4 linked regions of the Saccharomyces cerevisiae S288C genome follow. The gene in region 2 interacts genetically with the main gene of each other region. Each region holds a gene or a part of one and is shown on either strand. Other genes may lie near its edges. The genes, in order: ALD6, MIR1, GGC1 and YAR068W.

What was found.
Region 1: mutations in MIR1 (region 2) and ALD6 together harm fitness more than expected from each alone (negative genetic interaction), as found in Saccharomyces cerevisiae (2 studies listed by BioGRID).
Region 3: of MIR1 (region 2) and GGC1, changing one enhances a phenotype caused by changing the other (phenotypic enhancement), as found in Saccharomyces cerevisiae (one study listed by BioGRID).
Region 4: mutations in MIR1 (region 2) and YAR068W together harm fitness less than expected from each alone (positive genetic interaction), as found in Saccharomyces cerevisiae (one large-scale study listed by BioGRID).

Annotation. Positions count from the first base shown.
Region 1 is NC_001148.4:429,923-439,338, reverse strand, and holds ALD6 (aldehyde dehydrogenase (NADP(+)) ALD6), read right to left. Parts: upstream 6,752-9,416; coding exon 5,249-6,751; downstream 1-5,248. Other genes in the region: MFM1 (Mfm1p), read right to left, coding at 3,575-4,816; YPL062W (uncharacterized protein), read right to left, coding at 7,040-7,444; protein translocase subunit TIM50, read right to left, coding at 7,970-9,400.
Region 2 is NC_001142.9:575,889-579,900, forward strand, and holds MIR1 (Mir1p), read right to left. Parts: upstream 2,303-4,012; coding exon 1,367-2,302; downstream 1-1,366. Other genes in the region: septin CDC11, read right to left, coding at 1-713; dioxygenase BNA2, read left to right, coding at 2,972-4,012.
Region 3 is NC_001136.10:97,593-106,415, reverse strand, and holds GGC1 (Ggc1p), read left to right. Parts: upstream 1-1,864; coding exon 1,865-2,767; downstream 2,768-8,823. Other genes in the region: ASF2 (Asf2p), read left to right, coding at 1-1,499; YDL199C (uncharacterized protein), read left to right, coding at 3,063-5,126; MGT1 (methylated-DNA--protein-cysteine methyltransferase), read left to right, coding at 5,349-5,915; TRM8 (tRNA (guanine46-N7)-methyltransferase), read right to left, coding at 5,995-6,855; mitochondrial 54S ribosomal protein uL10m MRPL11, read right to left, coding at 7,192-7,941; ACK1 (Ack1p), read left to right, coding at 8,463-8,823. UniProt on the Saccharomyces cerevisiae protein: Mitochondrial GTP/GDP transporter required for GTP uptake and GDP exit from mitochondria. Involved in mitochondrial iron transport and essential for mitochondrial genome maintenance.
Region 4 is NC_001133.9:218,717-226,779, reverse strand, and holds YAR068W (uncharacterized protein), read right to left. Parts: upstream 4,375-8,063; coding exon 3,889-4,374; downstream 1-3,888. Other genes in the region: acid phosphatase PHO11, read right to left, coding at 1-1,320; YAR066W (uncharacterized protein), read right to left, coding at 5,120-5,731; YAR064W (uncharacterized protein), read right to left, coding at 6,283-6,582.

The sequences.
Region 1 (9,416 bases), on a different chromosome or scaffold from region 2:
AAGTTGAAAAGTTTGAGAAGGAAAATCATCATCCGCCCCCGATTGAGGACATTGTGGATATGAGTGATCAAACTGATATGGAATCAAACTGTCAGGATGGTAATAACTTAAAAGAATTAAAAGTCACCGATAAAAATGTACCAACTGACAATGGAACAAATGTGTCACCAAGGTTGGAACAAAATATTGAAGCATCTGGATCACCAGTACAAACAGTTAATAAAAGTGCCTTCTTAAACAAAGAATTCAGTTCTTTGAACATGAAAAGAAAACGGAAAAGACACGATAAAAACAATAGTCTAACAAGCTATGAATTAGAAAGAGATAAGAAGCGTTCAAAAAGGAATCGAGTGAAATTAATTCCAGATAATATGGAAACAGTTTCAGCACAAAAAATTAGAGCCATATATTATAATGAAGCTATTTCAAAAAATCCTGACCTCAAAGAAAAACATGAATACAAACAGGCATATCATAAAGAATTACAGAATTTAAAAGATATGAAGGTATTTGATGTCGATGTGAAGTACAGTAGATCAGAAATCCCTGATAATTTAATAGTACCCACCAACACGATATTCACAAAGAAAAGAAATGGGATTTATAAGGCTAGGATAGTCTGCAGAGGTGATACTCAGTCACCAGACACTTACAGTGTAATAACTACAGAATCTTTAAATCACAATCATATTAAGATATTCTTAATGATTGCAAACAACAGAAATATGTTTATGAAGACCCTGGATATCAATCATGCATTCCTATATGCTAAATTGGAAGAAGAAATATACATCCCACATCCGCATGATAGGAGATGTGTAGTCAAGCTAAATAAGGCGTTATATGGTCTAAAACAGAGTCCTAAAGAATGGAATGATCATCTAAGACAATACTTGAATGGAATTGGACTGAAAGATAACTCTTATACTCCGGGATTATACCAAACCGAGGATAAAAATCTAATGATTGCAGTCTATGTTGATGACTGCGTAATTGCGGCAAGCAATGAACAGAGATTGGATGAATTCATAAACAAATTGAAAAGTAATTTTGAACTGAAAATTACAGGAACATTAATAGATGATGTACTCGATACAGATATATTAGGAATGGATCTAGTATACAACAAAAGACTTGGTACTATCGATTTAACATTAAAATCATTCATAAATAGAATGGATAAAAAATACAACGAGGAATTGAAAAAGATTAGAAAAAGTTCAATTCCGCATATGTCAACTTATAAAATAGATCCTAAGAAAGACGTACTGCAAATGTCAGAAGAAGAGTTTAGACAAGGTGTTCTAAAGCTACAACAATTACTAGGTGAACTAAACTATGTCAGACACAAATGCAGATACGACATTAATTTTGCTGTTAAGAAAGTGGCTAGACTAGTAAATTACCCACATGAAAGAGTCTTTTATATGATTTACAAAATAATCCAGTACTTGGTTCGGTATAAAGATATTGGAATACACTATGACCGAGACTGTAATAAAGACAAGAAGGTTATTGCTATAACTGATGCATCAGTTGGATCAGAATATGATGCTCAATCAAGGATTGGAGTTATATTATGGTACGGTATGAATATTTTTAATGTTTATTCTAACAAGAGCACAAACAGATGTGTATCATCAACAGAAGCAGAGCTTCATGCCATTTATGAAGGCTATGCAGACTCAGAAACGTTGAAGGTAACATTAAAGGAGCTAGGAGAAGGAGACAATAATGACATTGTCATGATCACTGACTCAAAGCCAGCCATTCAAGGATTAAATCGCAGCTATCAACAACCAAAAGAGAAATTCACTTGGATAAAAACTGAAATAATAAAAGAAAAAATTAAAGAGAAGAGTATAAAACTGTTAAAAATTACCGGCAAAGGTAATATTGCTGATTTACTAACAAAACCAGTATCAGCATCTGATTTTAAAAGATTTATACAAGTATTAAAAAATAAAATAACATCACAGGATATTTTGGCCTCAACAGACTATTGATAATTAATTAATGAAGTTCTAAACACACAATGAATATCTGTTGAAGTACAATAATATATCTTTAAGGGAGCATGTTGGAACGAGAGTAATTAATAGTGACATGAGTTGCTATGGTAACAATCTAATGCTTACATCGTATATTAATGTACAACTCGTATACGTTTAAGTGTGATTGCGCCTATTGCAGAAGGAATGTTAAACGAGAAGCTCAGACAATACTGAAGCTGTGTTAAAGACCTATTAGTTGAACATGATATGGTAGGTACATATATGAGGAATATGAGTCGTCACATCAATGTATAGTAACTACCGGAACCACTATTATATTGGTCATGATTAATATGACCAATCGGCGTGTGTTTTATATACCTCTCTTATTTAGTATAAGAAGATCAGTACTCACTTCTTCATTAATACTAATTTTTTACCTCTAATTATCAACATTGATAATAAATTTGCTCATGTCATGGCCCACAAGTTTTTATCCCACAATGAAACATTTTATTATAGCTAAATACGTCATTCTAAACTTAAGAAACCATCTCTATGTGTGAAACGCATGAATTATATAAAATAACTACTGAAATATCTTTGTTACTGATGAGAAATAGATGAATCGTAGATAACTGTGAGGATTCCGTTGTTGTTAAAGACTATAATATCAGGTATACAGAAAATGTTAGAAGTTCTCTTCGAGAATATAGAAATCGACAAAAGGGGTCGGCAGTTTTACATAAATAATTTATGGAATAAATTCAACTATCGTCTATCAACTAGTAGTCATACTACCAGTATATTATCACATACAGTGTAAGAAGATAACATAAGGGATGAGAAACTGTCATCGAAGTTCGAGTAAGTTGAAATTCAACGATTAATGCAACGATTGATAATATAGCAGGATAATGAAACATATAAAACGGAAGGAGGAATAATAGTAATATTATTTGTAGAAAAATCGATTCCCCTTTGAAAATTTCTATATCCTCGAGGAGAACTTCTAGTATATTCTATATACCTAATATTATTGCCTTTATCAACAATTAAATCTCAACAATTATCTCAAAATTCATCAATTTCTCAATGATATCATTTTTTCTTCCTTCTTTTTATACTTTGTGATTCATTATCCTATTATATAATCAATCCTTTCATTTCACTTTCATTAAACTTGATGACTGTTTCTCAATCCTTATCTCATCTTCTTACACCGTATATGATAATATACTGCTAATATTTCTAGTAGTCAGCATGATATTTGATTTTCACCAATCAACCACAAGTCCTGACAGGAAGTTATTATTTAACCACATTACTGTTGCGTGGATAAGTGTTATTATTCTATTGCCTTAAAACTATACAACAAAAGCTCGTATGGCGCAGTGGTAGCGCAGCAGATTGCAAATCTGTTGGTCCTTAGTTCGATCCTGAGTGCGAGCTTTCTTTTTTTCCAAAGAATTTTAATTATATACGTTCGCCTGTACGGCTTTTTATATACTTAAAAAAGTGAAAGTTGTTCTTATTCATTTGAATGCGTATTAAAAAGATTGATTGACTCTTCGTGATAACTATTTCTTCAACAGTTCGTGAACGGAATCTGTTTTTATTTTACTCAATAATGTCATACGTTGTAATTTATGCAAATGTCTGATTCCCTTCGCATAGAGCCAAACAGTAGATATTAACCCCAAAATGGTGACAGTTAAATACGCATAATTACTTTCTTCTATGAAACTTTCCAGATTCATACCATAGATAGAACCCAGGAATAGAGCGCCTCCCAACGAAAGCATTCCTATGGCGTATCTTATCCCTAACAGCATTAATTCGTTTCTGTTAGAATCTAGGATTATATTGATGATTTCTTCTGTGGTTTTCACGTCAGATATGGCGCTTTCGCTTTTCTGAACTATTTCATCGACATAGTTATGATATGTTTCCAGAAGCATTTCAATTTCAGTATGATCATCTTGAACTCTAATTTTTCCAGCCTTTTTGTCGGTTAAGTACATATCACAAAGCATATCGTCTTGCTCTAGCAAGTCATCCAGCATATCTTTAACTAGAACAGCCTTTTTATTGAAGCTGCTCAATTTTTTGTTTTGACCCAGTAAGAACCTTAATTTATCTCTTGTTATACTAAATTCTAGATCTTGAAGCACCCCCTTGCATATGGTTAGCAACACCTTCATTTCACTGGTAAGGTTAGATAATGCCGAAATGAAGATCGTTTCTAAAGCTCTGAATTCATAAGGAAGTGGATCGCTATTTAGCTCGCTTGTTTCTTGATTTTTTAGTCTCAATTTCATATCGTTAATAAAATCCTTGTGAGCTTCTGAGTTTAAAGTTATTCCACTGCCGGCTGAATCGAAGATAATAACCATATCAGGCTTAATTAGGGCTTTCACAGTAAGTAAACTGATTAGTATGGAATTTTCTCGCACGAGCAAACTAGGGACTAAGTCATTCTTCCTTGATTTTTCAATTTTACGTAGATCTCTGGGCAACAAGCCATGTTTTGATACTAGATCCTCACGTTTTATCTCTACTAATGGTGATTTGGCTCGTCCAGTTGAGTCTAGCAAAGTACATCGTATTGTCCCTGATCCATACCCATAGAGCATGTTGTTTCTTTGGATCAAGTTTTTCTGTAGTAGCATTGCAGCGGTATTGTCAGGGTCCACCTTAGGCATTTGCCTAGAGAAATCAAAAGAAGAAAGTGATGAACCAAAAAGCCTTACTGTTCGAAGAAGGATGTTATTATATGATCTCTGATGGCGAAATGGCAGTACTCGGGGGAATGCTCTCATGTGTACCTTTTGATTGGAATTGGTTCGCAGTGTTTATGTTATATTAGCTCAATGTGCTCCCTGTATTTTATATATGAAACAAGTCTTTGTATTGCTATTTTTTTCAAACCTTTTTCTCAACTCTAAAAGCGGTCCACGTTAGTTTTCTTTGGATATAGCAGTTGTTGTACACTAGCTTAAGATGTAAAATTCAATTCAATATGATTTTGTGTGGGATGTTTTAAAGAAGGCACAAGCCTGTTCTCTCTTTTTCTCTTTTTTCATGGATTGTATCGCTTAAAAGGGAGAAATGAAGTAAACGATTCTTTTTGTAAAAATATAAAACCAAATTTTTTAATTTATATGTATACATATTTATTTATGACGTAAGACCAAGTAAGTTTATATGAAAGTATTTTGTGTATATGACGGAAAGAAATGCAGGTTGGTACATTACAACTTAATTCTGACAGCTTTTACTTCAGTGTATGCATGGTAGACTTCTTCACCCATTTCTCTACCGTAACCAGATTGCTTAACACCACCGAATGGAACTCTGGAGTCAAAATCGTTGTATGTGTTGATCCAGACGGTACCGGCCTTCAACATCTTGGCCACCTTCAAACCTGTGCTCAAAGATTCTGTTTCGATACCAGAACCTAGACCGAATTCAGAGCTGTTAGCCATTTCGACACCTTCTTCTAAAGTCTTGAACTTTGCGACAGTGACAACTGGTCCAAAAATTTCTTCCTTAACAATTCTCATGTCTTCATTAACATCGTAGAAAACGGTTGGTCTGATGAAGTAACCCTTGTCACCAACTTTTTCGCCACCAGTTAAGATCTTGGCGCCTTCTTTCTTACCGATATCGATGTAGTTCATAATTGTGTCGAATTGTTGACGGTTAGTGATAGCACCTTGGAAGTTAGCCTTGTCAAATGGATTACCAACTTTGATTTCGGTTTCCAAGTAAGCCTTGAAAGCAGCCAATAGTTCGTCGTAAATACCTTCTTGAACGTAAATTCTAGAACCAGAGGAACAAATTTGACCAGCGTTCTTGAAAATACCGTTTACTAGATTTGGTAAAGTCTTCTTAATGTTAGCATCGTCAAAGACCAAATGGGCGGACTTACCACCTAGTTCCAAAGTGATTTTCTTCAAGTTAGATTCAGAAGAGTCGACAGCAACACTCTTACCGACTTCTGTAGAACCGGTAAAAGCCAGCTTTCTGATTCTTGGGTCGTTGGTCAAAGCAGCACCAACAGTTCTACCAGGACCTGGAACGATGTTGACGACACCAGCTGGAATACCAACCTTCTTACATAAAGAAGCAAAGTATAGGGCATTTAAAGGTGTGACAGCAGCGGGTTTCAAGATACAGACGTTACCCATGGCCAATGCTGGGGCGATCTTCCAAGCCAACATCATTATTGGAAAGTTCCATGGAATAATTTGACCACAGACACCGATTGGCTCTAAGGTGGTGAAGTTCATGTAGCCGTCACCGGTGTTGATTGTTCTACCGTTGACTTTGTCGGCATAGGCAGCAGCATCTCTTAGACAGTTGATTGCAATGGTAACATCCCCACGGGCTAAGGCCAAAGTTTTACCATTGTCCAAAGCTTCAATGGAAGAAACCAAGTCAATTTGGCTTTCCAATTCGTCAGCCAACTTACTTAGTAGACGGCCTCTTTCTCTTGGGTCTTGGGTAGCCCATTCAGTGTCGTGGAAAGCACGGTCGGCACATTCGATAGCATATTCAACATCTTCAGTGGTGGCAGAAGAGACCTCACAAACGGTGTTTTCAGTGGAAGGATCTTCGACGGGATAGGTCTTACCGTCTTGAGCTTTCATAAACTTGTTGTTAATGAATAGACCGGTTGGTTGCTCGTATGTCAAACCATTTGGAAGTGTGATCTTGACTGGTTCAGCAGTGTCAAAGTGTAGCTTAGTCATTGTATTCTGATAGTATGTGTTTGTGTATGTTAAAGATGTTTCTTGATGTTTTTTCTTCTATAAAACAAGAGAAGTAAAAGACTGAACACTTCGAATTGAATATTACCAAACTTCTTATTACATTTATATATGATATCAAGAACTTGTTAAACACGCCAGGCTTGACCTCGAACGGTGTTTTGATGTGTTACTCAACCGTTAAATCGCTGTTTGAGCTGACTAACAAGGTTGCTTGTCTTGAATCCCCCTCACCCCGAATTTATTACGAATTTGCCCACATGGTCGGTGCTATATCGCATTCGTTGCACTCACCGTTCCCAAGAGGAGATCAATGTTACATACGTTCCCGATGCCCAAAACGGTAAAGTTAAAGCGATATAGAAGCTGGATGCATATCTTTTTACACGTCCGCGGCGCGCCCACCCTCTTTTTTCTTTCTGGTTCCTTTTCGGTCGTTTTTCTTTTGTCGGCTGCCTTATTCCCGTGGGGATGAGGCGAGCGCCGTTTCGGCTTGGATACGCCATATGCAACAATGACGTCTCGGTGCTGGCCATGCCCCTCATTTATGTCGAAAAACAGGCCACTGCCCCTCTTTTCTGCGGCCCGGGCAAGAGGAGACCTCATCAGCCACGGCGACGTGCTGGTTGCTTCTACAATGGTATCTTCACCTTTTACATAATCCAATTCTATCATGCCCTTACGTGAGGGGCAGTGTCGTATGTGACGGCAGTTCCTGACCTGATAGTGTGTCTATTTGTCTGTTAGCGTCCGCGGAAAGTTGTGAGTACGGTTTTTAGTTTAGTTTCCACCCGGGATTATACTTTTGGCTACCCTGACTGGAAGGCGGCGGCCTTATATTCGAATGAACATGCCAGGCATTGTACGAATTGAAACTTTTTTCGTATGACGTTACGAATAATTCCATTCGGCCTAAATATTCTTTTTTTTTGGATTTTTATGCTAGTGAAGGAATATGAGATATGCAAAGCGCATCAGATCATTAGGTGTGTCTACATCGTTAAAATTTAACATAGAAAAAATAAATAGGCGTGTTTGTACGTAGTATGGTGATGTTAGGAGGTGCAGTGGTAGTAAGTTAGCAATATACATAAGTTTTATTCACATGACAGTAACAAAATGAGGGTGTGGGGAGTGTACAGGTACATTTACATACACACATAGATACGTAGATACATGAGAAGAGGGTTTACATGAAAATTATTTGGATTCAGCAATCTTCTTCTTTTTCTTTTCCTCTTCAAATAAGGCGTCTACCTCCTTCTGCTTCTCCAATTGTATTTTCATTTGTTCTTCTGGCGAAGGCAAGTTACCTTCAACATAGTCTTTCAGCGTAAATGTTTGCCCGCCCATTTGCTCCTGCTGTATTCTAATTTTTTCCTTTTCTTCCTCAATCATCTTCATGAACATTAAATAGTTCTTTTGTCCTTCTTCATGAATCAAATCGAGCGGGAACTTGGTGCTGCCGCCCAGGGAATTTCCGAGACCTAGTGCCGTCATTGCCCAGTTGCCACCAGATTTATGATCTCCGTAAAATTTATCCTTCAATTTTTTCACACGATGATCAAATTCTTCTGCTAGGTTCTTCTTGTCTTCAAAGCTGTTCAAGATTGGTCTAACATCCTTGGTTTGTTGAGTGGCAAGGTACTCCAAAAATGGAATCAATCTTACTAATTTGTCATCAGCTTCACCATTCCATGGCTCCATTGGAATAGCATTTTCAGGTTGCAATTTGTAACTGTTAGGGTCAGTGTCAATAATGATTACTTTACTCAAATCTCTATTCAATTTTGACAGATCCTTAATGTGCACACCGTCTTTGTAAACACAGTGTTCCTTGAACAAATTATAAGATACGAATGCATGGATTGGATCTAATTTTTCAGCGATTTTGTCAGAGTACATCATATAGTTGGATGAAAACAAAACAATTTCGTAATACTGCGATAGGTAACCCAAGAAGTAGTCAGCACCAGGTCTTTTGGCCGTTCTCCAACCATGCTTTTGAGACCACTCAGAATGAACCAAAAAATCTTCCAATGTGATAACAAGAGTTAATGGCCTTTGGTACGGTGGTGGTGGTGGTGGAGGTAGTAAATCAGGGAAAGGTGGCTCTTGGAAGTAGGTGAACATTGAGTTGAACCTGGCCTTGAATCTTTTATACATAAGTGATAAAGTGTAGCCATTATCGATGTCTTTCTTCAATTCTTCAGACTCTTGAGGCTCCCAATCCCTTGCCATGTAGATTGCAGTACCTGTCAACGCAGACAACGAAAAAATGTAAAACCAGTTAGCATACTTTTCTCTTTTAATATCTGTAGAAGTTTGTCTTTTTCTTCTAGATTTTTCACTTTTGGAAGAAGGTTCATTCTTGTCCTCTCCTCCTTCTCCTGATGTTTCCTCGTTTTTGCCTTGGCCCTTCTCATCGACGTCAACACCGGCCTTGAACAGCATATCATCTGTAAGAATGGATTTAGGCTTGTCGTCTTTTGTTTCTTTTTGTAAAAAACTTGAATAACTTGTTAAAAGTCTTCTGGATGCTTGAACCGATGTTAAGGTGTTGGCGGCAGATGGCACAACCCTAAGAGCCCTTGAATTTAGTCTCACCGAATTTCTTAAAATGGACAGCATTGCAAGCGGGTGATTT
Region 2 (4,012 bases):
CCCATTTCGTAAACTTCATTGGATCCAATAATAGCAAAAGGTAGAAGTGTACGTAGGTACATATTGGTTTCGTAATCTTCGTCTGATATTTCATCTTCATCGAAAGGGAAATTATAAATTGGCAAGTTCCATCTGTCGATATCCTCCATGATCAATTTTTTATTCAGTTTCAGTTCATCTCTTGTCAAGGAATCTGATTTGCTGATCACAGGGATGATGTTAACTAAGGATCCCAACTGTCTGATGAATTCCACATCAATCTCTTTTAAACCGTGGCCAGTTGGGTTGATTAAGTAAAGACAACAATGAACTCTGCCGTCCTTAAATCTTGGGTTTCTTCTCACACGACTTTCTTCCAATAAGATTTCATCATATTGGTGGCGAATGTAGTCGGAAATGATTTCGAAAGATGGAGAATTGTCGAGAGAATCACCGAATCCCGGAGTATCGATGATATTAAGTTGAATCTTGACACCTTCATCATCTTCTAATTCGACCGTCTCCTCTCTCAATTGTAAGTCTATTTCTGTGGACGTATCTGTGGGTAACAAGATTGTCGTCGAAGTGTCTACAACTTGCTGACCGCACAAAGTATTTATAAAAGTCGATCTACCAGATCCGGACTGGCCCACGATCATCACAGTGAAGGTTATACCTCTTTTCAAATGCTTTCTTTTTCTTAATGCAGAAGATGCGTCAATTATTCCGGACATGGCTGGTGGTTAGCAACTTTAGGCCTTGTGATGATTGACTTTCTAAACGGCTCCAGATCGGGTCGCCAATACGTGGTGTCTACCTATTTTACTTTTCGATCAAATACTTTTTTGTTTATTTTTCTTTATGTTAGAAGGCGGAAAAATAAAGAATACTGGCGATCCTGCATGGTCGGGTAACGACCCACGAGCATTGTGTTGTGTAAATATAGCCATATTTAAGCTATATTTATCTGTATAACATATACGTGTCCGTATGTGCCCGACCAAATATGTTACTGCGATGAAATGGATTGAGAACGATGTTTAAATGTTATGTTCCATGTTGTGTTTTCCACCAAAAAACCGTGAAGGACAATTCAATGAGCAAAGGGTTTAACGGAGCTATAACCTGCTTTTGTAGATGAAAAAATAGAAAATTCAAATATATATATATATATATATTTATAATAGCATGTTAATTTACAGATATTTGGACTTTTGCAAAGTCAGTAAATACATGGAATAAGAATACTAGTGATTGAATAGAGTACATTTAAACAGATTTATTTATTTCTTTCCTTTGTTGACTCTTTCTTAGAATATGAAAAAAAAAAGGGGCTCCGGTGGTGATGAGGAGAGAATATATATGCATGTATCAATCAAGACCATTTCTAATGACCACCACCACCAATTTCAATGGTTGGTGGGCAACCCAAAGTGCTCTTTAAAGAACCATAAATACCAAATTGCAAGGAGGTCAAGGTACCAACCATGACCAAACGAGTAGGCAACCCAGCAAAGGAACCGAAAAATCCTAACTGTTTGGCCAACTGAGCCAACAAACCGACTGTGGATTGGCCAGGAGCCTTCTTAGTCTTGTTGACCTTGGACAACAGAGTGTCTGCTGGCTGGGAAACAATGGCAGCGGCCAAACCAGCAGTCAAACCGGAAAGCAAATTCAACAAAGTAGTGGAAGTAGAGGACAATTTTTCTTTTGGACCGGCGAACCCGTAGTAGAACTCGGAGGCACGTTCAAAGACCAAGAATTTAGCAATGTTGTAAGGAATTTGCTTGAACAAAATTGGAGTGAACCCACTGTAGAAAGAGCCGATACCTTCTTCTTTCAAAATTCTGGAAAACCCTCCGACGAGTCCATTAGCGAACTGTGGTTGGGAGACCAATCTGATTCTAGTGGCTTCTAGGGGACACAAGGCAATGTCTGCCAAGAATTCGGCCATGGCAGCAGAACCCATGTAAACAGAGTTCTTGTAGCGAGAGGCGGTATCGTAACCCAAGTTGTCAATGAAGAACTTCTTGAACACTTCGTAACCACCGAACTTGAAGGCACCTTGGATAGAGTAACCCAACAAAGTAGGACCAAACCCGGTCAACAACGCACCAGCACCTTCTCCGGCGATGATTTGCTTGAAAGAGCCGACCATACCCTTGTTGTACACGGTAGGTTCCAGTTGGATTCTCGTCTTAACGACATCGATCGGGACCATACTGGAGTGAGTCGACCCGCACCCTATGGCGCCGGCTAGGGCGAATTTCATGTAGTCAGAGACAGAGTACTGTGGAATAGCAGGAGCAGCAGACACAGACATGGTGAGATGAGACTTTTTGATCTTTGTAGTTCTTCTTCTTGCAGATCACTCTGTTCTTTGCGATGGTTCTTGTAGATAAAAAGATCGGGAGGATGGATCGCACTTAAAAATCTTCTCGAAACGGGCCGCGGCCGGGCATGGGACCCGTTCTCGACGCTGATTGGCTAACGATGGTTGGGCAGAGTCTCAGCTGCTGCTTGCTCACATTCGACAAAAGACTAGAGGAAAGCAGTACCATGCTGCGATACTGTTGCATCGCAGCATTCCGCTGTCCAAAAACAATACCTGTTGTATTGTTTGAGGCTGGCAGGCGCTTGGGTAGAAACAACACCCGATACTGGTGACAGGGCTATCTATAAATATTAAAACTTGACTCCGCAATTCGTCGTAAACTGCCTTAACCATCGTAATGGACGCCGTGCAAATGCTTCGACTTTTCCCAGTAGTCAGGCATTGCGCCAGACACTTGTGCTGCTTAATTGTCGTAATGAAAACATATCGGTAGCGGCCTTTTTTTATTTTTTTTCTCTATGGGCTGACGCTGTCACTTTTCAACGTCGCTCCGAGGCAAAAAAGCCACCGTCAGAAATAATTACTGTCACACACACTAGATGTCCATGTATCTTTAGCATATATAAAGCGAAAATAAAAGAAAGAGTCAACGCCGATATGAACAACACTTCCATAACCGGACCACAAGTACTACATAGAACAAAAATGAGACCACTACCAGTGCTAGAAAAATACTGTATCTCGCCACATCATGGGTTTTTGGACGACCGGTTACCCTTGACCAGACTGAGCAGCAAGAAATATATGAAATGGGAAGAAATCGTTGCTGACCTGCCCTCTCTTTTGCAAGAGGATAACAAGGTGCGGAGCGTCATCGATGGGCTGGATGTCTTGGACTTGGATGAGACGATCTTGGGCGACGTCAGGGAGCTCAGAAGAGCATATTCCATTTTGGGGTTTATGGCGCACGCTTATATTTGGGCCAGCGGAACTCCCCGGGATGTATTACCGGAGTGTATTGCAAGGCCACTGTTGGAGACAGCACATATTTTGGGTGTGCCACCGTTAGCTACGTACTCCTCGTTGGTGTTATGGAACTTCAAAGTGACCGACGAGTGCAAGAAAACGGAAACCGGGTGTTTGGACTTGGAAAATATTACAACGATAAACACATTTACGGGAACCGTTGACGAAAGTTGGTTTTATCTGGTCAGCGTGCGGTTTGAAAAAATCGGCAGCGCTTGTTTAAACCATGGGTTGCAGATATTGAGAGCCATTAGAAGCGGTGATAAAGGAGACGCTAACGTGATAGACGGGTTGGAGGGCTTGGCTGCAACGATCGAAAGGTTATCGAAAGCCTTGATGGAAATGGAGCTTAAGTGTGAACCCAATGTATTTTATTTCAAGATAAGACCATTTTTGGCCGGGTGGACGAATATGTCGCATATGGGGTTACCACAGGGTGTTAGGTATGGAGCGGAAGGACAGTATCGGATCTTTTCTGGCGGGTCCAATGCGCAAAGCTCGTTGATACAGACACTGGACATCCTTTTGGGTGTGAAACACACTGCGAATGCTGCGCATTCTTCCCAAGGAGACAGCAAGATCAATTATCTGGACGAAATGAAAAAATACATGCCAAGAGAACATCGTGAATTTCTTTACCATTTGGAATCGGTATGTAATATTCGCGAATAC
Region 3 (8,823 bases), on a different chromosome or scaffold from region 2:
TCAACTCGGACAAGGAATATGCGGCTGTGACGAAGGGCCTCAGCAGCTCAAGAGTACAAAAGAAGTCATCTTTAAGGCAGATGAAAAGCAAAGTCAAGGAGCTTCAATCTTTAGTGAATCATTACCGAGAAAATGAAGCCGCTTTAGTGTCTAGCGCCAAGTTATTGTCCGGCGAGATCATAGGCTATGAAATTAAGATGGCTAGTTTACATGGAAAAATGAAAAGTATCCTGGATGAGAACAACGCGTTAAAGGAAACGCACAAGAGCTCTGCTGAAAAGAGAATCGAACTTGTTCGACTTCCCTCTAGCAAAGAAGAACGCAACTACGATGAATACACTTTGCTTGTTAATCTCAAGAAGGAAATCTGCGCCAAGTTACAGGACTACAAAAACGTCCAGAACACGGTGAACACCAAGTTAGATGAGATTCACACGTTCCATGAAAAATACTACGAAGGACTAGAACTAAGTTTAGACAGCAAGGTGTTTGATGCAGAAAGCTCAAAAGAGCTGGCCAAAGTGAGGCGAGAACTGAATAACGTGAGAAAAAATTCCGAAATCAAAGTGAATAACTTGAAAATGCAACTGCTACAAGCAACCAAATCACTGGAGCACTTGAAGAAGCAGGCTAAAGCAAAGGATGACTATCTTAAATGTATTCCTGAGCTGGTCGACAAAGCCAATCTCACGATGTTATCCTACAAGAAAAGCATCGCTAACCAGAGGGAGACTATCGAAGCATTACAAGCAGAACTATCGCAACAATCAGAAACAAAGGGGCAAATAGAAACAGAAACACAAAATCAAGTACAAATCCCCACCAATGTGACTTTGGTGGACCCCTTTGAGGAAAACAATCCAGAGGATTTGTTCGCTATCCAGGAACAGGAATTGCAAGATCTAAGGTTGCATAAGAAAATGGCCGATGAGAGGAGCCGAACTACCCACTTGCATTTAGAAAGAAAAAATAATACCATCAAGCTACTGCAGAGTTACGTGCAATCATTAATTCAACGGCTACCACCAGCCCAGCGCAAACACCATTTGGGCATATTCCAAAAACTTGGTAGCGAAAAATCGTGTCCACTCGCCCCCGCTGTGGCAAGTACATATGCGCCTCTTCTACTCTTATCCCAGCATTCGAACCATCAAGAAATTGACAACACCCCTCAACGGCTTCTATTAGCGGCTCCAGACGGGCAGTCATATTCCGAAAAGAGCACAACACTAAACCTTGATTACTCATCAAGGAAATCCTACTTATCAAGACTACAACCACCACATATAGCCAACCTGAAGTCTTTGACTCTGAAAACTCTGCCAAGGGTGCCCACGGACAGTCCTCAACTTCCTTCAAAAGACAAATCTCAAGAGACTGCAAAGAAAGACGATCGGCCAAAATTGGTGGCAAATGAACCAGTCACACTAGACACATCAACTCCTCCTGTGGCACAAAGCTTGGCGGATTCAAAGCATTGTTCAGGACTACATAAATAAATATAAATACGAAGCGGTAGAGATCACTACGGCATCCGCCTATCTGCAAAGGAAGCTCTATCGCAAACATACCACCGTTAATCTTCGCTGCCACAGTTTCCTTGTAGACCAATGGCATGTAGCACCGCCGCCACTGCCCGAAAAAAAAAGAAAATGAAAATTAAAGAACGATCGCAATTCTTGATAAAGCTCGAGAAAACAAAAACTCGTGAGTCACTGTGCATTTGCTGTCACATTTTCTACAAAGCGACGACATAGATATATAGAGGTGACTATATAAATCGTGTATCTCTTTTGATGGTTAATATTTAGCCTTTAGACATATATCAAACAAAGCATCTTCCAAAGTATTAGAAAAGGGAAATATGCCTCATACCGATAAGAAACAATCAGGATTAGCTCGTCTTTTGGGGTCCGCCTCTGCAGGCATAATGGAAATTGCCGTCTTCCATCCTGTGGACACCATTTCCAAAAGACTGATGTCCAACCACACCAAAATAACCTCTGGCCAGGAATTGAATCGTGTTATTTTTCGTGATCATTTCAGCGAACCTTTGGGCAAACGTTTGTTTACCTTGTTCCCGGGTCTCGGTTACGCTGCATCATACAAAGTTCTTCAAAGAGTGTATAAATATGGTGGTCAGCCTTTTGCTAACGAGTTTTTGAATAAGCACTACAAAAAGGATTTTGATAATCTTTTCGGTGAAAAGACTGGTAAGGCAATGAGATCCGCCGCTGCTGGATCTTTGATTGGTATTGGTGAAATTGTTCTTTTGCCGCTGGACGTGTTGAAGATTAAGAGACAGACCAATCCCGAATCGTTTAAAGGTAGAGGTTTCATCAAGATTTTGAGAGACGAAGGCCTGTTCAACTTATATAGGGGTTGGGGGTGGACGGCTGCCAGAAATGCTCCCGGTTCATTCGCCCTTTTTGGTGGTAATGCATTCGCCAAGGAGTATATCTTGGGTTTGAAAGATTATTCTCAAGCTACTTGGTCCCAAAACTTCATCTCCTCCATCGTCGGTGCTTGCTCCTCTCTGATCGTTTCTGCTCCATTAGATGTCATCAAGACAAGAATTCAAAATAGGAATTTTGATAATCCTGAAAGCGGGTTGAGAATCGTCAAAAACACTCTGAAAAATGAAGGTGTAACTGCGTTTTTCAAGGGCTTAACACCTAAATTACTAACAACGGGTCCAAAACTGGTTTTCTCATTTGCGTTAGCTCAATCTTTGATACCTAGATTCGATAACCTGTTGAGCAAATGAAGTACATGAACTTCTTGTCTATTTTCCTTGGCATTCAGCTTGTGAATATAAAATGTATAACAATATGAGTTTGTACTTTATGTATTATTTCCTGTTTTTTGACTAACTACTTTTTCCAATGTAATAGCTGTATCACCGTACCGAGGTAAGGACGTCAGCCGCGTAGTTCTAAAAAAATAAAGGATTGCTTTGAAGGGCTTCTGGGCCACTTCAGGACAAAAAGAATGAACATAAAGAAGAGCGCTAAATTTAATACTACAGAGGAACCTGTTACTATCTCAGCTTTTTCAAGAAAATGAAACCTCCGTTAAACATGTCACGTTCAAATAAACCACTTACTCAGGAAGCTAATAGTTCGGCGCATATTGATAGGGCACATCAGCTAGCACAGGATTTTAACAGTAAACAGGATGATACCGCACTAACTTCACTGCCCCACAAGAACCCCGACATATTCAGATTTGAGAACAACATCACAGCTCATAGCTCGCGTCGTGGTTCTCTATATAGAGACAGCGATGCTACTGTGGTTTTGCCGCTTTCTGAACATACCCCTAGATTATCAATGGATGATCCATACCGCCAATTACTACAACAGGCTGAAATCTCACAACTACGAAGTAAGAAAAAAAGGCATTCCAGTCGAGTTTTGCGTACTTCGTTTATATCTTTTGTGGTGCTAGTTTCCTCGCTGTCAGGGTTGGACCAAGGCCTCATATCTGGTAACGTTATGACTTTGTCGTTCCAGAAGTATTTTCATTACCCACTTACTTCTCCGCTGGGCAATATAGTGAGCATTGTTAATCTGGGTGCGTTCATGGCGTCGTTATTTGTCTATTCTGGCATCCTGGAGCCTTGTAGCAGGAAAAAAATGCTCCAAATAAGCACAATGATATACTCTTTGGGTGCCATTGTTCAGGTCTTGGCTCTAAACCAATGGTGTTTACTACTGGGTAGATTCTTACTCGGAGTAGGTATGGGCTTTGCCTTTTCTATGGTAATAATTTATCAATTCGAGTTTCCCCTTCCCTGTATAAGAAAACGGACATTAATTTCCATTCAATGCGTCTCTAGTGTCATTGCGTATTCATTCGGAATATGGATTAATTGTGCTTTCAGATATTTGGGCTTTGCATGGAGATACCCTTTGTCAACACATGTGGCACTTGGAATAATACTAAACCTAATGTCGTTCTATCTTATTTTAGAGTCCCCTTCGTGGCTGTTGAAGCAAAAGAACGACGTAGAGGCATTGGTTTTAATATCGAATGTTTTCGATGATGGAAATTTCGAAGAAAACCAAACTCAGTTGAAATTTAGGGTCCTGAAACGAGACATATTATTAAAGTCACACCTTCAAAAAAACTCCTATCCATATGCGTATATCTTAAAGGATTTTTCTTCAATAATAAAATTGTTGATAGGTTTCCAACTTCTCACACGAACAAATGGAGTGGATGCTTTCTTGTATTACTCACCGTTAATATTACAACAAATGGGGAGAGGAGAAAGAAAATCTATCTATTTAACGGGGCTTAATGCTTTAATTTACAGCATCGTAATATTAGCATATGTTCCCTTGGTGTTACGGAAACGTAAAGAGAAAACGAATGTACTCTTAGGTTCGATTGTGATGTGTGCATTGCTATTTACCATATCTTTTACAGACTGGTTTCCCAAGAGCACAACGAGGTATATATCAATACTATTTGCTGTTTTTCTTTTTACGCACTTCATCAGTTGGGATTCTATAGGATGGGTTATGACCATTGAGCTTCTACCTCACTTGTCACAGGCCCCAGTGATACTACTAGTCTCAAACTTTTATTGGATTTTTAAGTGGTTCGTCAGCTTAATAACCCCTATACTTATTGACCGTCTGTCTTGGAAGTTTTATCTTATTCCATCTTTATCTTCCTTTATTTCCATTATATTTGTGCTGAAGATTTTTCCTATAGAAACCCGTGACGAAAGGTTAGATTCTGATGATGATTCTACCGGAAACGGTAGCGGTAACCATGATGATGTTTTTGACGATACCGGTTCTGAATTCTCCTCCTCACCATCTTTTTCCGCGTATCAGATAAACACTCTAGGAAGTAGTATCAAACAAAATAATCAAGCCTATTCATCTATTCAAAATGAGCAGATTCTACCCAAAAACGGAAACTTATCGAACCAGACACACGGTTCTGCACAAAATGTTTATTTCATTACATCTGATTCAGGACCATCAAGGACTGGAGAATTTTTCAGTTTTCATAACAGAACCGATCCAAATATCAGCGACAACATTGCTGCGAATAAACCCAGTTCAGGTGGAGGCCAGAATTCGCCTGGAGACATGGCAGTTGCCTAGTATGGCCTCATAAAAATATTTGCTTCATCCTAAGTATAAATGTTTAGTTTTATCCTACATACATATTCTTATTATAGTCATTAGAAAAAAGGCACGGCGCTATTGGCCTGGCAGGGCATTTAAAATGCGGTGGAAACAAGGAAGATTAATCAAGTAATGATATAGCATATGCACAAAAAAAAAATTGAAAACGGTCGCATTTTTGATCTAAATGGACCAACGATGAAGGAACTGCTTTACTATACATTCATTGAAACTGAAGTGACTGGTGCATTTTTGGTGTTTAGGGAAAAGACTCAAAACCTTGTTTTTGCCTCGTTAGGTAATGATAAGCTTTTTTTATTGGGAAAGGTGGAAGGCTTCTTGAAGAAACATGAGAAACAGGATACAATGTACGATTTACAGGAACTAAAAGAGGCAGAAACATATAAGAAATCAATCGAAAATTATACAATATGTTTAGAAAACAAAATGCCATTACCATCGGGCGCTATTCCCTTTGAGTTCCTGTTTGGAACAGATTTTCAACGTAAAGTTTGGAATGAGCTTTTAAACGTGGAACACGGCCACGTCGTAACATATGGTGATATTGCAAAGAGAATAGGGAAGCCAACTGCCGCAAGATCTGTCGGAAGAGCTTGCGGCTCAAATAACCTGGCATTGTTAGTACCTTGCCATAGAATCGTTGGTAGCAATAGAAAATTAACCGGATATAAATGGAGCTGTAAACTGAAAGAACAGTTATTAAATAATGAAAAGGAAAATAGCTTAAGCCTTAGTAGATTGTAGTTGGATAAAGGATTTTAGGAAAATAAACATAAGAAATAGTTATGTATATGTGGTAAATTGTTCTAGTTATACATCTATGTTACAATATGGCTGGCGTTGGTAATCTTGTGAAACAAGCGACGAACTTGTCACCCTTCTTTCTTTCCACTTTTTTACCTTCTTCTGTGGCATTTCTCATTATTTTCACACATTCATCGTTTTCTTCCCATTCTTTGCTCAACCGTTCAAATAAAGGATGCTCTTCTAAATGTTTTACCATCCACTCATGCAGGTCTTTGACGTCTGTAATTGTGTACACGACACCGCCCTCTTTCAAAACATATGCGTACTCACTCAGCAAGGTGTTAGTGATAATTCTTGCCTTATGCTTTCTTTGTTTGAAATGAGGATCGGGGAAACAAAAAAACATTTTAGAAAGCTGGCCCTTTTCAAAAAAGTTGGGCAAGAATTTCATAGCGTTACCTCTCAAGACATTAATGTTTTGAAATCCATGTTTTGAAGCTGTATTGTTCCTTAAGGCAATAATTCTATCCTCCACGTAATTTGTAACCTGCACACGAATTTCCATCCCTAAGATAAGATCTTCAGGGAAGGCTGGTGATAAATCTATCATCAACCCACCGAATCCACAGCCAATATCAGCAATCGTCACCTTCTTTGTCATTTGTCCATTTTCCGCGTTTTTGTAGTAAGGGTACAATTTGGACCAATCCATATCCTGGGGAGATACTGGGTACTCTAACTGGTGATCTGAAAATGGGTTGGAATGCGCCCTTTGACGATAATATCTCTTCTTTGGCAAGTCGATCTTTTGGCCTTCTTGCACCAAAGAACTTTCATTGATCTTTACATGCTTCAACTCCTTACGATTTTCTTCCTTATTTATACGGTATGCGTAACGCTTGGAGCCTGGATCTTGGCTTAGTGGCTTGGCTTTCATCTTAACAATAAACGCTTGAAAATTTTATCCTATGGGAACTGCTGAATCTATACTAATCCAGCTTTTGTGGCGCTTTAATAAAGTGAAATGTCAGAAATATCCTGAAATTTTTTGCTGAAGTCATCACCAAAATTTTTCATTTTTTTTTTTTTTCAACGGTCGCTGAGATATGTAAAAAGGTAAGAAAGGTAAAAGAAAGGTAATTTTGACGTCAATACATAGACTAAAGTATATTTACCGTTATTGCTTCATTGTCTTTTTATTTTTTGATGATGTATGTACATGATTGAATAGTAAAACCTTTATAAAACTTGTCGAATTACGGGCATTTTCTTTTTACTTTGATCCCTTCGATTCTGCATCTGTAGTTGACTCCACATCCTCTTTAGGTTTTTGGTTGTCATTGTGAGATTTTAGTGTTAAATACAATGCATTTGAACTGTTTTCCAACGTACGAACCAAACCCAACCCACTTAGCATTTGCAAAACGCTGACTAACTGCGACTGCATTTCCGGCTTTGTGGGGAGAGTCTTAAAAGTGTTTATTTTTTCCACATTCAAAACTTCGTTTTCTACTTTTGCACCAATCACCATCAGCTTGTCTTGTGCTGACTGCAGAACCTTCAATAGCTTGGCTACTTGTTGAGGGTTGGTGTCTTCGTATGTAATTGTGGCCGTAGGACCCTTCAGTAGTGGCAAGAGTGGATGTTTCCAGTTTTGCTCTTTACGCTTCACGAATCCACATGGGTCGGGCAGATGCGAATTTCTCAAGTAGACTTCGAACAGGTTGTTTCTTACTTTTGTGAGTTTCCCTCCTGTCTGTTTAATCTTGAATCTGAAATGGTGATCTTCTGTTTTGGAAAGATTATTGTAATGGACAAAAAAAATCATAGAACTGTTCTCCATTAAATGCTTGTATGTATCGATGAGAAACGTCTTCCTCGAGTCCAGCGGCTTTACTGTCTTTCTTGAGGGTTGTTCAGAAGCCAGAGCATAAAATCTCTTATGTACTGTACCAATTGTCTCCTTCAAACCAAAAAAACCATTTCTGGGGACCCATCCAGGCATAAACCTTAGCTGCAACATTATTTATAATCACACTCCGCGCCCAAGCACTTCCAATAAGGTCTAAAGCTTTTGTTTTCCTTACTCTTCAATTGTACTAACCTTCTTTCTTTTCTCAGTTTACTGCTATAACTCTACGTTTTTTTCTGTATGAATCTCTACTAAGCCCTAGGGTTATTAGTGTATAAACGTTAGGTTACACTATGAAAAAGACTTGTTTAATAGGTCATATAGTAAAAAGCTTAGGTTAAGTGCCTTCAAGAACGAAACCTAATTTTAAAATTGACGACTAATTATCAAGTGTATTGAAGATGGCTTGAGATGAACCTTAGCACTGGATGCTATGGCTTGTAGAATAAGCAGATATCCCGGTAATTTAATTTGAGTTGCTCAAATTATATACAAGAACGTGGTAGAGACTGGATTTGGAAGCGTCTCTTTTTATGAAGTAGATTTTAACTCCGTTTTCTTTTCATTTCCTTCTATTCTTTTGTACAGAGTGTACCACCACGTTTTAATACTTTGTTTTAATACAGTAGGCAATGGTTAATCAGGGCCAACCGCAACCTAACCTCTATGACAAACACATTAACATGTTTCCACCAGCAAGGGCGCGGGAGTCCTCGCATAAATTGGGAAATGCCAATTCGGATAGGCATGGTTTGCCAGCTCAAAATATAGTGCCTGCACCCTATCCAGTGGATGACTCTATCGTTGAACTCACACCAGCTATTCCTTTTACATCCCCTTCATCTTCCTCATCATTATCGCTGCCTTTGAGTGCGCTGAATTTCACAGACGGGAATGCTGATGGTGGTCAATTAGGCACTCCAGTAACCATAAATAGTAATAACGGCATGGACATTTTTAATTCCAAGCCAACAGGTGAAATAGGATATGCCA
Region 4 (8,063 bases), on a different chromosome or scaffold from region 2:
GACGTTACAGACCTTTAGGAAGTCAGTACCGGCTACTCTCTTTTCAGCATAGTCGTAGAAGTCATTTATTTCACAGGAGAACCCTGGACCAGTAGAACAGGTTTCAATTGGAACGACAGCATCGTTGATGACGTATCTAACATAGGTGTCATTGGAACACTGGAACTTTTCAGTGTAAACACGAGCACCTTGTGGAACGTACCAGGATCTGTGGAAAGTGTTTTCCATGAATGGAACATGTTCGGCGGTCAAGTTATTTTTGTCATCGATTATGCCGATAGTGGTCAAATAGTTCAGAATATCGGTATCGTGGGTGAAACTCAACCAAACCTTTTGGTCCTGGACCTCACTTTCCTTTAGTAGTTTCACTGAAGCGTTGAACAAGTTGGCACCGACGGATCTGACGACGTCATAGCCTGGTCCCGTTTGATAATAAGTTTCCAAGTCTTGGCCGTAGGAGAAACGGACCAATTCATCTTTGGTGAAGATGTTACAGATGTCACTGTAACCTCTAGCGTTTATTTCATATGCACACCATGCAAAAAAAGTGTTTGCATCACTTGAAGTCAGATTCAAACCCTTGTTTTCCTTGTTTAATCTCTTGGCAATACCACTCAAATATTTGGTATCATATTTTTTCAAAATGTCATCGTTGACATCATCGTCCCAAGCAGGACACGAATGGTGGGCACTCAGAGTATTGGCACCAGCAGACTCGGCTTCACTGATGGTTTGCAAGGATATGTTGAATTTATCACCCAAACCGTCAATGAAATACTGGGCAGTATCATGACATCTGTTCGAGTTAGACGTAAAAACGGCAAAACTGGTTTGGTTTTCGACCATGTAGCCATATTGCGCCAAGAAATCACGAGCGTGTCTCTTAGCATTCATCTCACCGGTATATGGGTTCAAAACATTGACCGAATTGGCAAGTGTGGTTTCCATTTCTAGGTTTTTGGTGTCACGAATGAAAAATTCGTAGTCATCGTTCAAGAAAGACAATGCTCCGCTGAATTGACCGGTATAGTTACTCAATTTGTACCATGTTGTCATGATACTTTTGGCTTTGCTGACAGTGGGGTATCTTTCACCGTGTCTACCAACCATTTGCACTTGCTTCATTTCACAACTTTCCGGCAAATCACGAGAAATACCATAATCACCAGGGAAAGAGTAGTATGGCCCAGAACCACCCAAAAATGGGAAAATTTCCGTTTGAGTTCCGATTTTGTCAATGTCAGATAACTTTCCGAGGGGTATGGTACCTGCATTAACCAAAGAAGCGGCTAAAATTGAATAAACGGCTGACTTCAACATTGGTATTTCTGATGATGTTCTTGCTCTCTTTGCTGTTGTTGTTCCTCTTCTTCTTCTTCTTCTTCCTACTTTACAACCAAGGCGAAACTGAGCTTGAATCTATCGAAATGTAAGAGCTTATATACGTTTTACTTGGCAATTCGACGCTGTTTATGCTCATTCCAAAACGGGTATAACATATCTGGTGAGATGACCAATTTGGCAATGTGACGTGCGGAATATGGAATCTCTCCGGTAAACAGGGTCTGAAATTCTGTGTAATTTGCCTTTTTAAACCCACGTGTGAACGCCAAGATTGTGCGGCTTCGTTTAGGGATGTGTTCTGTTTTCTATTAACTTTTTACTCTTTCCTTCCTATTTCTTTTTTTTTTTTTTTTTTAGTACACATGAACTACAGAATGTTATGCGAAAACGTGGTAATTTAATAAATACGTGACACAGCGTATAAGAAAAAGCTTATCAAGGTTATCTCTGTCATTAAAACTTTATTAGACACCCACGATGAATGAAACGATGAAAGTAGATATAAGAAGTAGTCGGAAGTGAGAAAGAGAAAATGATAAAAGAACGAAAAAATCCCTTTATTTTCTCATCTTGATGTATAAAATAACTACTATATATTTGTGGCAGAAATCATACCTTTCATTTTTCATCGGCATAGATAATCTTGATTGTTTCACCTTAATACGCTTTTTTCAATGTCGTTTACAAAACAAGCTAGGTTTGCAAGATATCCTGGACTTTTTTTGTAATCTATGTGGCCACAGTATGGTTCGCACTTGCAACATGGTAGAGGCTGCCCAAAAACAAAACCGCATCACCTTTGGCAGCATTTACGTGAAACTCCATCCTCTTGTCAAACTTTGCACAGGAATCGTGTGGGCCCCACGAGTGTGAACCAGTAATTACATGTGCGGCTCTATTGGCATTGTTCATATCTGTAAAAGCAACTCCTGCTCCCAGTACCGTTTCTTTCCGTATTGGAAACGGTCACAGCACCGGTCTTGTAGACAATACCCGAGTTTAGCTAAATGTCACTTGGGCACTTTCTAATGACATTTCCAGCCAAAAGAAGTAATTTTGCTCATTTAAAAAAATAGTTTGCCATATCACAAAACAGTCGGTCGGATAATATCTCCTTCCAACAGTAGGAGAATGGAGGACCACACCCTTGTGGCCATCGTTGTTTTCTTTGGGAATGGTGAACCTTTCCATGTGTCGTTGTCTGTAGAAATGGTGTTCGTGCTGCTTCTTTCATCCACTAGAATTCATGAGGTAGTAGTTCTTATATGTTATAAACTTCAACACGCCACCTGGTCTTGGGGTAATATGAGCAAGAATTTCTCTCTTAAACCGGATATAAGTCTGAGCTTTCTGTTGGATATAATTTCTATAAATGATATATGCATCTACGGTTGCATTGCCCTTACAGTTGTGTTTATTTTATAAATCTACGTTTAGTATAAGAAAATTGTATTGTCGAGTCTTAGCTGAGTTCATATTTATTCAAAAAATTGGCCTAAATGTTATGTCTCTTTCTCGATCCATGAATTATTAGCAACACCGAGAATTGCAGCAGTGATGCTTCACATTAATGCATGTTCCTCCCTGTTGCCTTTTGGTAAAGTCATGGGCATATGATTACTCCGGGCGTCGCGCGGCTGAAGGCGTCTAAAATAAAATGTTCAAAAATGATATTAACTTTCTTATATATCTTAGACCTGCTATTTCTTTCTTCTTTTTTTTTATTTTGTATTCAATTGGTTTTCACTTTCTCGAAACGCAAGGCTTAAATAAATCAAGGACAGATTCGATAGCTTCTTTTGGGACAGTCAGCTCTTCAGAGGTAATTGCATGACTTCATGATTCGCGGAATACGAAATGAAAAGGGAGGTCCGTTTGAGGTAACTCAGTTCTTTACGAATCACATGCAATATTCAGGGTAAAAATCCAAGTTATCTAATTTTTTTTAAACTACCTTTTTCTTTTGTACATCACGTTTCACTATATATTCTACTACATCTATTTTCGGCCCAAAACTACAGCATTTGCAGAAACAAAACGACGCTTTCTGTTCCTGCTGATAGTATTCATGACACATTCCATATTGCATGTTGCATTTAAAACGAAGGGCCAAGCCATGGTCATGTGATTTCCATGTGCGGCAACTTCAAGACTTCTTCTTTTGGGCATAGGAAGACATTAAAAATATTATTTATGCATTATTCTTATGTCGGCTAATAGATTCAAAGAAACCCACGAAAAATTTACCGACCGCGCGAAATAAAAGTAAATGAAAAAAAAAAAAAAAAAAAAAAAAAAAAAAAAAAAAGAAGAATGTGTCTATCTTCATAATGGTGCCTTCGCTAAACCATCTTTTCTGACGCTTTATAGTTCGAACACAGCATTCTTCAACCGCGTAAAGTTAAAATCACTTGAATGTTTACACTGACGTTTATATATTAAAATACTTTCTACTTAGTTATTTTTAGGAAAGTACGGTTACGCACTCATTTTAAAAAAAAGCAAGGATGAAAATACCTGCCAAAGTACTTAAAGCATTGGTTCTCAAACCAGCAGCCATACCTTCGGATTGAACGACAATACCAGTGAAGGTGCTGGAAGCAGCAGTATGAGAAGTTGGAGCAGCAGACTTGGTGACTGTGCTAGTGGCCAATGATGTTTGTTTGGAAGCCTCGGAAGTGACAGTCTTGGTGTTACAGCCGTTGTCGTCACAGTGAGTAACGGTAACAGTAGTGTATGATTTTGGAGAAATGGTGGTTGCTGCAGTTTCTTTAGAACATTCAGAAGTGACAGTCTTGGTGTTACAGCCATTGTTGTCACAGTGAGTAACAGTAACAGTGGTGTATGACTTGGAGGAAACGGTTGCAGTTGCGTCGGTAGCAGTTGGTGCTGGAACATGGCATCCGTTTTCGTCACAAGATGTGATGGTGGCAGTGGTAGATGAGCATGGGACAGTTGTGGTAATGGTGTAAATGTTACCGCTAGCGTCGGTTGTTTCTGAACAGGAAACCACGACTGTACTTGTGGCATTCAAGTAAGTTAATGTAGTAGTGTAGACAGAAGCGGAACCTGAGGTGAAGCTGGTGGCGGATGCAGCGGATGCAGTAGAAGTAGTGGAAGCGGTGGAAGCAGTAGAAGCGATTGAACCAGATGCTGTAGTGGAGTTTGAGACACCAGAGATAGAGGCGCTAGATGAAGGAATTATTGAGTCTGGGGCGCTAGAAGAGATCGTAGAAGAGACGGTGGTAGAAGCGTTAGAGGATAAAGTGACTGAACCAGTGGCAGTAGAGACAACACCAGAGGTAGTGGATGCGGATGTGGATGCGGCGCTTGTAGCGATGACACCGTCATAGTTTAGGTAATATGAGTAGGCGCCTGCGAAGATTCCTTCGGAGACACTGAAGCCAGAACTAGAGAATCCAGTACCAATTTCAAAAGAGAATTGTCTGTTACCTTGGGTTGCAGTTAAGACACCAGTAGTACCGTCGTAAGAAAGAGCAGTGATGTCGGCGGTAATGGCAATTTGGTTCTTACCGGTGTAGCCAACAACAGGAATAGGAGTGGCGTTGGTTTCGGTTGGGTCAACGGCAAGAACACCTTCACCCTTGAATACAACAGTTTGGCCAGTAAAGGTGTCAGGGTAGTGCAAGTATAGGTTACCAGAGACGATGTTGATTGTACCGTTTCCAGAAACTGGTTCAACGATAACATAGGTACTTCCATTGTCTAGGTTGATTTCACCGTTATTTACAGAGCCTTCATCGTCGTCTCTACGTTACAAACCGGAAACAGAACCACCGTTGAGAATAGCATTTGACAAAGAAAAGGTACCAGCGTTAGAGTATGGAGAAAAGGTGACTTCACCCTTCTTGGCCTTTGACAAACTCAAAGAAATGTCACCGCTGCTCTTGAACGAGCTAGGTGTGAATGAATAGATAGATGCGGAGACAGCGCCAGTTTCTTCAGCACTGAAGTTACCGGAAACTTCAAAAGTCTCACCAGAAACGTCGAACGCGGTACCTTCGTAGCTTGCTTCAGACTTTTCGACAACCAAATCACCGTGAACTTTTAGATCAGATGAGAAGACGTATTTTTCACCGTCAAGTAAAGTCAACTTACCACCGGCAGCGACTTCCACGGCCTCGGTTGCAATTACTTTACCAGTAACTGTGAGATCACCGCTAATTGTTGTGGATGGCAAATAAACGGTACCGTCACTGGAAGAAAGTGAGTCGGAAGCGGTGGCACTTGCACTAGCTGACGAGACGGAAGTGATAGAACTCAAGTCTGCGGAGGAGGTGCTATTGGTGTAAGAGTCACCGAGAGCGCCGCGAGAGAGTAGGGCCAAAGCGACAGCAGCTTGGAATTTGTTAAAACGATTGAACATCTCTTTTTTTTTTGTAATGGGCGAGAGTTTACCAATAAAAAGAAAGAAATAGTAAAGCTTGCAAAGATGAAAACTTGGACTGCTATTATGAGAACAAGAGTGAATATGACGATCCAGTGACAATGAAGCATATTGAAGTACGATTTACCTGCTTTTTATATACTTCTTCTTGTTACTACTCACGGACTCCTAACCCATAGCTATAGAGCCCGAAGCTACAGAGACCGATGGTGTGCTAGATCAGAATTTTTGTGCATGCATTTCTACGAAGAACATTCTCAAGCCCTGTAAGGCTTGTACGCGCGCGTTTGCCAACAGGGAACGAGGTGCTAATTTGCAGACCAACACATAAGCAATTGGCCAAAACAACAACAACAACAATAACAATAGCAGCAGCAGCAGCAGAACGCGATTCAGCCTGGCCAGATTATTGTAGAAGAGGCACGCGAAAACAAGAGCGGGGAAGGGGCAAGATTGTTTGTTACGTGGGCAGACGCTCAGCTACTTTCTATACAATCCCTACTCTGTGAGGTGCTTATTCAAGCAATGATCTATAACTTTGGCTCAGAACAGATCATACGCCAAAAACAGAAAAGAAAAAGATAGCTATGTCCTAATGGAAGAGACAAGAAATCTTTGCGGCTACCCTCGAGAGAGTTAGTGCACGGTTTCTCCGTAGCCGCGAAATGCTTCTTTTCTGTCCCTGAAGCGCACGGCTGCGTAATCTCACTGCGACGCGGACGGCAATTGTTTTCCCCGGAGACGTGGCTGACAAAAGTCCCTGTGAAAGAAGGCGCTCGCTCTCTTCCGTGGGTCCCTGCTATATAACTACAGCAAAAATCAATCAACATCCTATTCCTGACGAGAATTACTCCGTCTCGTTAAAGAATATCTTTCCAGCGTTTTCTAAGGAAACGCGCAATGTCGCTCGAACTACAAAGACTGAACCTTTGGGTTCCATTATAAATTCTTGAACTTGTTTCATACCCATATATAAGCGGTGCAAAAGACAAAAGGGAAAAACAAAAAAAAAATGAAGAAAAACGGACAAACGGATAACCGGCACCTTCTGTACCACTACATCGCCCGTTTTCGCCAGCATTTCATCAGCACAGATTAGATAGTGTATTCCTACCTCCAACTATCTTATGCTTGGTTTGAATATTTTGGCCCAGTTTCTCAGGTCTTGCTTCCAGGCGCACCCAAAATGTGGTCTTGGTGTGATTGTCGTCACCTTGCCATCCTCTCTCAAATAACGTGGTTCTTGGTAATCTTCTAGACACTTTCCATAGTTTCAAGTCACGTGCGAATTGGCATGTTGCAGAGATTTAGATGGCTATATTTCCTCAAGTTAGCGCATTTGGCTTACTTGATCAGGCGCTTACGAGCTACATTTACGCCTGTCTGTATAATTTTGTTTCTTGACGATGGGATTCTCATAAGAAAGTCCAGATTTGTTCGCAAGGTTAGACACTTTTAGCAGCTAGTGCGTGGTACTTGTAGAATTGCGAACCGGGCATTACAAAACAAGCCCTTTTTTAGCGCTGTCAAGAGCAGAAACTGTAAGTATGCCAGAGTTAGTTGCCGCCCCAATGCTCTTTTCCTGGGCCAATTCGAGAAGTTGAACAGCTTTGGATATTACTGATAAAGAGATGTTTGCCTTGGGGGGCTACTACGGTAATAAGCGTCTTGTCGCTAATGACATGCCAGCAATCACTAAGATTGTTTCGCTCTCAGAAGAACCAGAGGTGGAACTACTGGTTTGAATGACGGATGATTTAGATGATTCAGAGAATATAGAAGTGGAGGTCGTTGCAGAAGAAGAAATGACCGAGGAAGACATGACTGAGGAAGAAACTACAGAAGTTCCATTGCTGCGATAGAATGGAGTAATAATTGGATGCTAAGACGTGATAGAGCTGGTGATTTGTTCTGAAGAAGATGATGACAAACTGGATGAGGTGGCAGTGGTTGGAGCTTTGGCAACAATAACGGTTTCGTCAGTTGGTTGACCATTAGTACCGGTGACGGTGGTCATTTCAGTAGATGTAGAAGTAAAAGTACCAGTCCACAGTTCGGTAGTAGTTGTGACGATGCTAGTAGTATGTTTTGAAGGATCAGGGATAGTACAATTTGACTGACTTAAATCATCGTCAAAAGAGTAAACGTACCCTTCAAAGTCATCACTAACAGTAGTACCATCAGGCAATTCCACGCTAATTGGAAGCGTGCCCCAGGAAACGGCATTGGAGTAAACAACCTTCAGCGGATAATAGTAGCCTGCATACATGTAGACAGTCCCTCCGATGTTATCAGGCAAACTTCCTTGCCA